Oryctolagus cuniculus: one gene and its partner. The protein of the gene in region 1 interacts with the protein of each later gene in a pairwise test. Links are inferred from orthologs where the notes say so. Each region holds a gene or a part of one and is shown in the gene's direction. Other genes may lie near its edges.

The links.
Region 2: the proteins of WASL (region 1) and ARPC3 interact in binary tests that used the Homo sapiens proteins (3 or more experiments, as listed by UniProt). The two-hybrid records come from large-scale screens. The link is inferred for Oryctolagus cuniculus from reciprocal best matches to the Homo sapiens genes WASL and ARPC3.

The regions. Positions count from the first base shown.
Region 1 is NC_091434.1:159,920,219-159,923,864, reverse strand, and holds part of WASL (actin nucleation-promoting factor WASL), read left to right. Parts: intron 1-322; coding exon 323-365; intron 366-2,789; coding exon 2,790-2,943; intron 2,944-3,646. UniProt on the Homo sapiens protein: Regulates actin polymerization by stimulating the actin-nucleating activity of the Arp2/3 complex. Involved in various processes, such as mitosis and cytokinesis, via its role in the regulation of actin polymerization.
Region 2 is NC_091452.1:8,116,122-8,120,204, reverse strand, and holds the start of ARPC3 (actin-related protein 2/3 complex subunit 3), read left to right. Parts: upstream 1-1,237; 5' UTR 1,238-1,447; coding exon 1,448-1,453; intron 1,454-4,083. UniProt on the Homo sapiens protein: Component of the Arp2/3 complex, a multiprotein complex that mediates actin polymerization upon stimulation by nucleation-promoting factor (NPF).

The DNA.
Region 1 (3,646 bases):
TTTGTCATCTCAGATGCATGTACATGCTTATATATACATAATTATAAAATGCATATATATGCATATATATGAAATGCTTGTATATTCTTAAGCTAACTTGGTAAATAGTTCTTGGAGAGATTGTACAAAAACGTTAAGATTGGTAGCAAGACCAGGGCTGGAATCCTGATCTTCCAATTCCTTGTATATAATTTTTCCTAGAATACCGGTATGTCTGTGAGAACTGTTCGTTCAGACCCAAAATTCCACTGGAGAATTGGATTTCCTACATATATGTTTTTATTGCCCTTCATGCATTTTATTTTTCTACTTGTTACTTTAGGCACATTGGACATGTTGGTTGGGATCCAAATACAGGCTTTGATGTGAGTGTCTTTTCAAGCTGTATACAATATTGATATAAATATGTAAGAATGTTATGACTTGCATTTAGACTTTTCAAAGGGCTTATTTCTTTATTATTATTTATGTTTGCAGCTTCTAGTGTCTATTTGGAAGAGTTGTGCTTATGTGTATATACTACTGAGATTTGGAACCATAGTACCGTCCTTTCATATTAGATCTTTAAAAACAAAGTTATTTTGTGACTTGGTTCAAAAATCATTTTCAATATTTTTGTTATAATTACCACATTAATCTCATACATATTGAGTGTCTTTTTCTGTTGAGCACTATTCAAGGGCTAAAAATTACAAAAATGTCCTTACCCTTGGATTTTCAAATTGATTTGCTGTTTTTGTCTTTCTTTGTGATTATACTTAAATCTTAACCTGGGACAAGGTGAAATAGATTCACATTGTTGATGTTTGAATCATGAATGGGTTAATAGAAATCAAGAATTCTCTTCTTCTGAAGTCAGGGAACAAAAAAGAGATGTGATAAAATGTAAGATCTATTCTTTGTTCATATTTATTCTGTTATTATTATTTAAGGTAAACAAATTCCATGTATTTCATATATACAAATTTAGGAACATAGTGACCCTTCCCATCCTACCCTCCCTCCAATAAACACTCTCACCCTTTTTCCTCTTTCCTTTCTTATTCTCTCTCCATTTTTGCAGTAATCTGTTTTCAGTTTGCTATATATTCAAAAGACTAACCATACACTAAGTAAAATGTCAACAAATAGTAAGAAGAAAAGAACACTGTTCCTCAACAGTAGAGAACAATCATGAATCTAAGAATGTCAGTTTCACTCTTACACATTACATTTTTGGTGCTCTGTTAGTTACCACAGATCAGGGAAAACATATGGTATTGGTCTTCTTGGACTGGTTTATTTCACTAAGTATAGTAATTTCCAGTTGCATCCATTTTGTTGCCAGAGACAAGATTTTTCTTTTTTACGGTTGAGTATTCCATAGTGTATGTATACCATAATTTCTTTATCTATTCATCAGTTCATGGATATCTGGGTTGATTCCATATTTGTATTCTGCAGCTGTGGGATGAAAGGTTCTGTAGATATCTGTTAGGTCCTTTTGGTCTATAATGTCATTTGGCTGTTTTTTCTGTGTTGGTTTTCTGTCTAGTTGATCTGTACATTGATGAAAATGTGCTTTTAGTCCCCCATTACTATTGTATTGGAGTATATGTCTCCTTTTAGATTTATTAACGTTTATTTTTTTTAAGATTTATTTATTTATTGGAAAGAATTACACAGAGAGAGGAGAGGCAGAGAGAGAGAAAGAGGTCTTCCATCTGATGGTTCCCTCCCCAATTGGCCGCAATGGCTGGAGCTACATCAATCCAAAGCCAGGATCCAGGAGCTGCTTCCGGGTCTCCCACGAGTGTGCAGGGGCCCAAGAACTTGAGCCATCTTCTACTGCTTTCCCAGGCCATAGCAGGGAGCTGGATCTGAAGTGGAGCAGCTGGGTCTCGAGCCGGTGCTTTAGGCCAGGGCATTAACCTACTGCACCACAGTGCTGGCTCCATTAACATTTATTTTGTTAGCATATAAATACTGTAACTGCATTAAAAGTTTATTTAACTTGTGCCTGGACTTGCGGCATAGAAGGTTAAGCCTCTGCCTGTAGTGCTAGCAACCCTATGGGCACCGGTTCAAGTCCCAGCTGTTCCACAGCCAATCTAGCTCCCTGCTAATGTGTCTGGGAAAGCAGCGGAAGATGGCCCGAGTATTTCAGCCCCTGCATCCATTTCTGAGAAACTCAGAAGTAGCTCCTGGTTCCTGCCTTCGGCCTGGCCCTGTCCCAGCGTTTTGGATAGTGAACCAGTGAATGGAAGATCTCTCTTTCTCTCTCTCTTTTTTAAAGATTTATTTATTTATTTGAAAGAGTTATACAGAGAGAGAAAGAGAGAAAGAGAGAGGTCTGGTGTACTCCCCAATTGGCTGCAACAGAGGAGCTGTGCCGATCCAGAGCCAAGAGCCTGCAGCTTCTTCCAGGTCTCCCACATGGGTGCAGGGGCCCAAGGACTTGGGCCATCTTCTACTGCTTTCCCAGCCATAGCAGAGAGCTAGATCGAAAGTGGAGCAGCCAGGACTTGAACCAGTGCCCATATGGGATGCTGGCACTGCAGGCGGCAGCTTTACCCACTATGCCACAGTACTGGCCCCGGAAGATCTCTTGATCTTTCTCCCTCTATCCCTATCTCTCCCTGACTCCTTCTCTCTGTATTTCTGCCTTTGAAATAAAGAAATATTTTTTAAAAGGAAAAAGAATTAACTTAAATATTTTCAAAAAACATATGAGAATTATACTTTGTCATACTTATTTTTAATAAACAAGGGTAGATTTTTATAGTTTGTGGTTATTTTATCTGTTGTAGTTGAATAATTTGGATCCAGAATTGAAGAATCTTTTTGATATGTGTGGAATCTCAGAGGCACAACTTAAAGACAGAGAAACATCAAAAGTTATATATGACTTTATTGAAAAAACGGGAGGTGTGGAAGCTGTTAAAAATGAACTGCGAAGGCAAGGTAACTTTTATTTCTATTTTTCTTTTTATCTTTGATGTCAGCTTCAGTTTTGAGCAAAATATTTGAATTTATTGATAGTTAATTTGGCCCATCATATTATATATTATATTATTTTGCAACTAAAAACTTGGTATGATTTTTTAAAGTTTTATATTAAATTTATGAAAATCCACACAAAATTTTCCAGTTGTCATATTTAGAAAAAAAATTATAGTTAAGTAAATAATTTACTCCATGAATCCTGCAAATCACTGTTAAGGTTGGTTGTAATTTAGTAGTTATTTAATCAATAAGGTATTTTCAGAATATAAATGTAAATCTTTTTATTAATTTTGAAATGCAGACTTTTTTCTTGTATAAAATATAAAAATTACGTTTAGTTCCTAAGAGTACAATTTGCAGTGTTTTAAGATCTGATAATTCATTTGAAGTATCTTACATTTTAGTTGTATCTTAATTATCACAGTAAAATGCAGATAAATTATGTTGTTTGTTGATAGTCATCTTTGCCACCTTGTTCATACGAGATTGCTTCTCTTCCTAGTATTTACATTCTCATTACACCATAGCAGAGCAAAAACTTCAGTTAAAAAGAATTTAGCTATCATTTTAAATTAGAAATTTGACTGACCTTTTTTGCCTCTGCTATCTATTCAGTCTTGATTGATAAATTCATTTGTTTGATTTACTCATTCATGCATGC
Region 2 (4,083 bases), on another chromosome or scaffold:
GGAAGGGCCACATTCCGCTGCCTCACCCTCTGCCCACTGAGCTGCGAAGATGAACCCGACAGTTCAGTCCTGGGGTTTCACCGCCTCCCGGTGAGCCTGATGTGACTTCGCACAAACGTACAGCGGTTTGTGGGTGCCAGGCCCCGGGGGTAGAAAGAGGCGGCTCAGGGCTGATGGCCTGGTGGGTGAGACCAGGAACAATGAAACTTGTGCTGAGGGACAGGAAGAAAACCGAGTGAAATGGAGAGTGACTAAGGGGTGCTTGGCCTCTCCTCAGTGGAGAAATCACGTCGGGCCGCGGGGCAGGGTTCTTCAGTGTGGGACACTGGCAGGAGAAATGGGCTTTTCCCATGAATGGGTGAGACAAACCCGAGCTGTCCGTACGCTCCCGGCTTGTACACTCAGCGCTTTCGGCTCCTTGCATCCTCCCAGAGCTTACACGGTAAGTACTGCTGCCTCCGTTTGCAAGTGGAAATCGCACAGATCGCAGATGTTGGAAACAGGACCAAAACCCACTGTCCACTTCTTCAGCCGCTGCGCGAAGAATCGCAGTGCAGAGTGACATGCAAATCCCTTCTCTCCTGTGTCCGGGTCCCCCATTTGTAAAAGCCATGATTTTGGCCCGCGCCGCGGCTCACTAGGCTAATCCTCCACCATGCGGCACCGGCACACCGGGTTCTAGTCCCGGTCGTGGCGCCGGATTCTGTCCCGGTTGCACCTCTTCCAGGCCAGCTCTCTACTGTGGCCCGGGAGTGCAGTGGAGGATGGCCCAAGTGCTTGGGCCCTGCACCCCATGGGAGACCAGGAGAAGTACCTGGCTCCTGCCATCGGATCAGCGCGGTGCGCCGACTGTAGCAGCCATTGGAGGGTGAACCAACGGCAAAGGAAGACCTTTCTCTCTGTCTCAGTGTCCACTCTGCCTGTAAAAAAAAAAAAAAAAGCCGTGATTTGGCTTCATTCATTCGCTCGACACAGTCCTTGGAGACACAGTCCTTGGAGGCTTGCTGCATACCCTGACTGTAGGCGCAGGGGATACAGCAGTGAGCCGAGCAAAAAACCCTCCCTTTCTGTACCAAAAGTAAGGGGATCCTAAGAACTAAGGGAAAAGCGAGAGAGGCCGGGAGGTGGAGTGTGATCAGGGAATGCTCCACTGGAAAGATGAGCTTTAAGGAAAAACAAAGGATGCGACTATCAAATTCTGTTACCAAGATCCACGCATGCGCGACACGCAGATCCGCTGCCTAGTGCTCGGGCGCCCTCTAGCGCCTCTTCAGGAGCGCGCAGCCACGGCCACCTGCGGAGGGATTGGGAGGCCGGAAGTTCCTTGTTCTGCCTTTGCCCGCCCCTTCCGGCTCACTTCCGCCTACCGCGCCCTGGTTCCCACACCGGAAGCGCCGCGCTCTAACCCGGACCTGCACCTCTCGGTTGAAACCCCGGGGCTGCCAAGATGCCGGTAAGTGTGAGCCCAGAGTGTGCGGGAGACAGCGGGAAGTCGTGCGTGCGACGGGAGATGCGTGCCTGGCAGGGCAGGCCGGAAGCGGGCGGCTGGCGAAGGGAGGGGTTGGTCCCTGAGGTCTGGGGGGCCTGGGGCTGCTGTCCGCCGGGGTCGACTGCGGGGCAGGAGTGGGCCACGGCCCCGACGCGGGAGGAAGCCGCCGCGGCGCGTCCTGCCCGGTAGTCCCCGGTGGCGGCGCCCCCTCGCCCCTCCGCTCCCGGACGCGGGCAGGGTACCCAGAGGCTTTTTCGAGCCCCGAACCCAGGGCTGTGCTTTTCATGTTTCAGGGTCCAGCTTCTCCTTCGCCCCCGCACCCAGTCAAGCCCACTTCCTCCTCCGCCGCAGGGGGCGTGTCCCCGCCCGACCCCGCCTGACCCCGCTTCCTCCACTCCTCCCTGCCACCCCCGCCGGGGCCAGGGGGCCTGGGGCCCTCGGAGCCGACCCAGGGTCCGCAGCTGGTTTCCAGATGGAAGCATCAGAGTGGGGGTGGAAACAGGCCGTGCGGTTGTGTGTGGGCCCCCGGTTGCGGGGTAGGAGCACGGTGGCCCTGCGGCGCGTGGGATACCTGCAAGCTGATGGCTGTGGCAGCCGCCAAGGCCAGCACTCAGGTGCCCATGAGTGAAAGGAGTATTTTCAGGTGGTGACAAACGCCGTGAAGCAGGTGGATCGAGACCGTTGCTGCTCCAGATAACGCATACCTGTCCGGGAAAAGAACCGGCTGTTGTCATAGATAATGTTTCACGAATCGCATAGGTAGCATTGACTCCTGGGGACTGCTAGGCGGAGCCGAGCCACACGCTGTGTAGACGCTCCCGTGTGCCCCTCGTCACTGACCCTGCAAGGCAGATACCATTGTTTCTGTCACAGAGAAGTTAGCAGCTCCTGCAGGGCCCCGGCCGTGGACTCTGAAGCCCTGTGTGCAGTCCAGTTGCCCATAGAGCGCCCTGGACTTACCCTGTGATTGCTCATTTTATCTGGATCCATTAGCCTGGGAATTCTTTAATCCCAAGGACCGTGTTCTGGTGTGTTGCCATAGCACCCTGCTACATGTGCGCGTGGCTGGTGAACCAGTGAACACATGGTTGGGGCCCGTGTTGTCTTACAGAAAGCCAGCCGTCTTGTAAAAAGCAGAACCAGGAATCGGCATACAAACCGTTCTCATAAATGTGACTTTTCTCTGTCTCTTAACTCACTGACCCACAGGAGGCAGAATATGTCTCATTTTGCAAATTTGGAAACAGGCTGAGAGAAAAAAGTGGTGTCTTGGTGAAAGACATAAACCCAGGAGAGAGCAGATCTGAAAAGCTGGAGCTTGGGTTCTGGTTTAAATGCAGCTGGGGGTAGCTACCCCTGATTTAGATGGTGTTTGCTTATGTCCGTGTGGAAATACTCCCACCCACCACCCCTGTGCTGTCACTAACCATGGAACAGGAGAGATGCACAGTGTCACAGTGTTGCAGTATTTGTATTTCTACCATAAACGTAACACAGATAGAGCCTTAAGAACATAGACAGTGGTAAATGTAATTTGAAAATTAGGAGATGATGAGAACATATACCTTTGTTTTTTTAATAAATATAATTGTAAGGTTATATAATTTAAAGTTTTTATTTATTTGAAAGGAAGAGTAACGGGGGCCGGCACCGTGGCTCACTTGATTAATCTTCCACCTGTGGCGCCGGCATCCCATATGGGCGCCAGGTTCTAGTCCTGGTTGTTCCTCTTCCAGTCCAGTTTTCTGTTGTGGCCCGGGGCGGGGGGGGGCAGTGGAGGATGGACCAAGTGCTTGGGCCCCTGCACCCCATGGGAGACCAGAAGCACCTGGCTCCTGGCTTCGGATCAGCGTGGTGCCGGCCATAGTGGCCATTTGGGGAGTGAACCAACAGAAAGAAGACCTTTCTGTCTGTCTCTCTCACTGTCTATAACTCTACCTGTCAAAAAAAAAAAAAAAAAAGAAAGGGAAAGTTACAGAAAGAGAGTAAGTGACAGAGACAAACAGATCTCCATCCCCTGGTTCATGGCCGAAGCCAGGAGCTTGGAACTCCGTGAGCATCGGAGGGAGCTGCATTGGAAGTGGAGCAGCTGGGACTCAAACCGGTGCCCACGTGGGATGCCAGCACTGCAGTCAGCAGCTTAACCCACTGCACCACAAACGGGTTTAAATGTTTGGGAATGACTGTTTAATAACCAGCTTGCACCATTAAGTTGGTTTTCTTCTGTTTGAGAGATAAAGAGACACACACAGCACTCCCATCTGCCCACGATGGCCAGGGCTTTGCTGTGGCTAACGCCTGGGCACAGGAACACAGGCCTGGTCTCCCACATGGCTGGCAGCGACCCGATCACTTGAGCCATCACCACTGCCTCCCAGGGTCTGCATTGGCAAGAAAGCTGGCATCAGGGGCTGGGAGTCAAACTTGGCGTTGTGCTGTGGGCCGCGGATATCCTAACTTCCAGACTGAATGCCTGCCCCTAGTGATTGACTTGCTTGAGCCGGAAGCAGCCGGCCCCAGCACATCACTGTTGCCAGCCCTGCTTCTCCCCACCCTACCTCATCTTGGGCAGATGACTCATTTTTTGTTGTTCT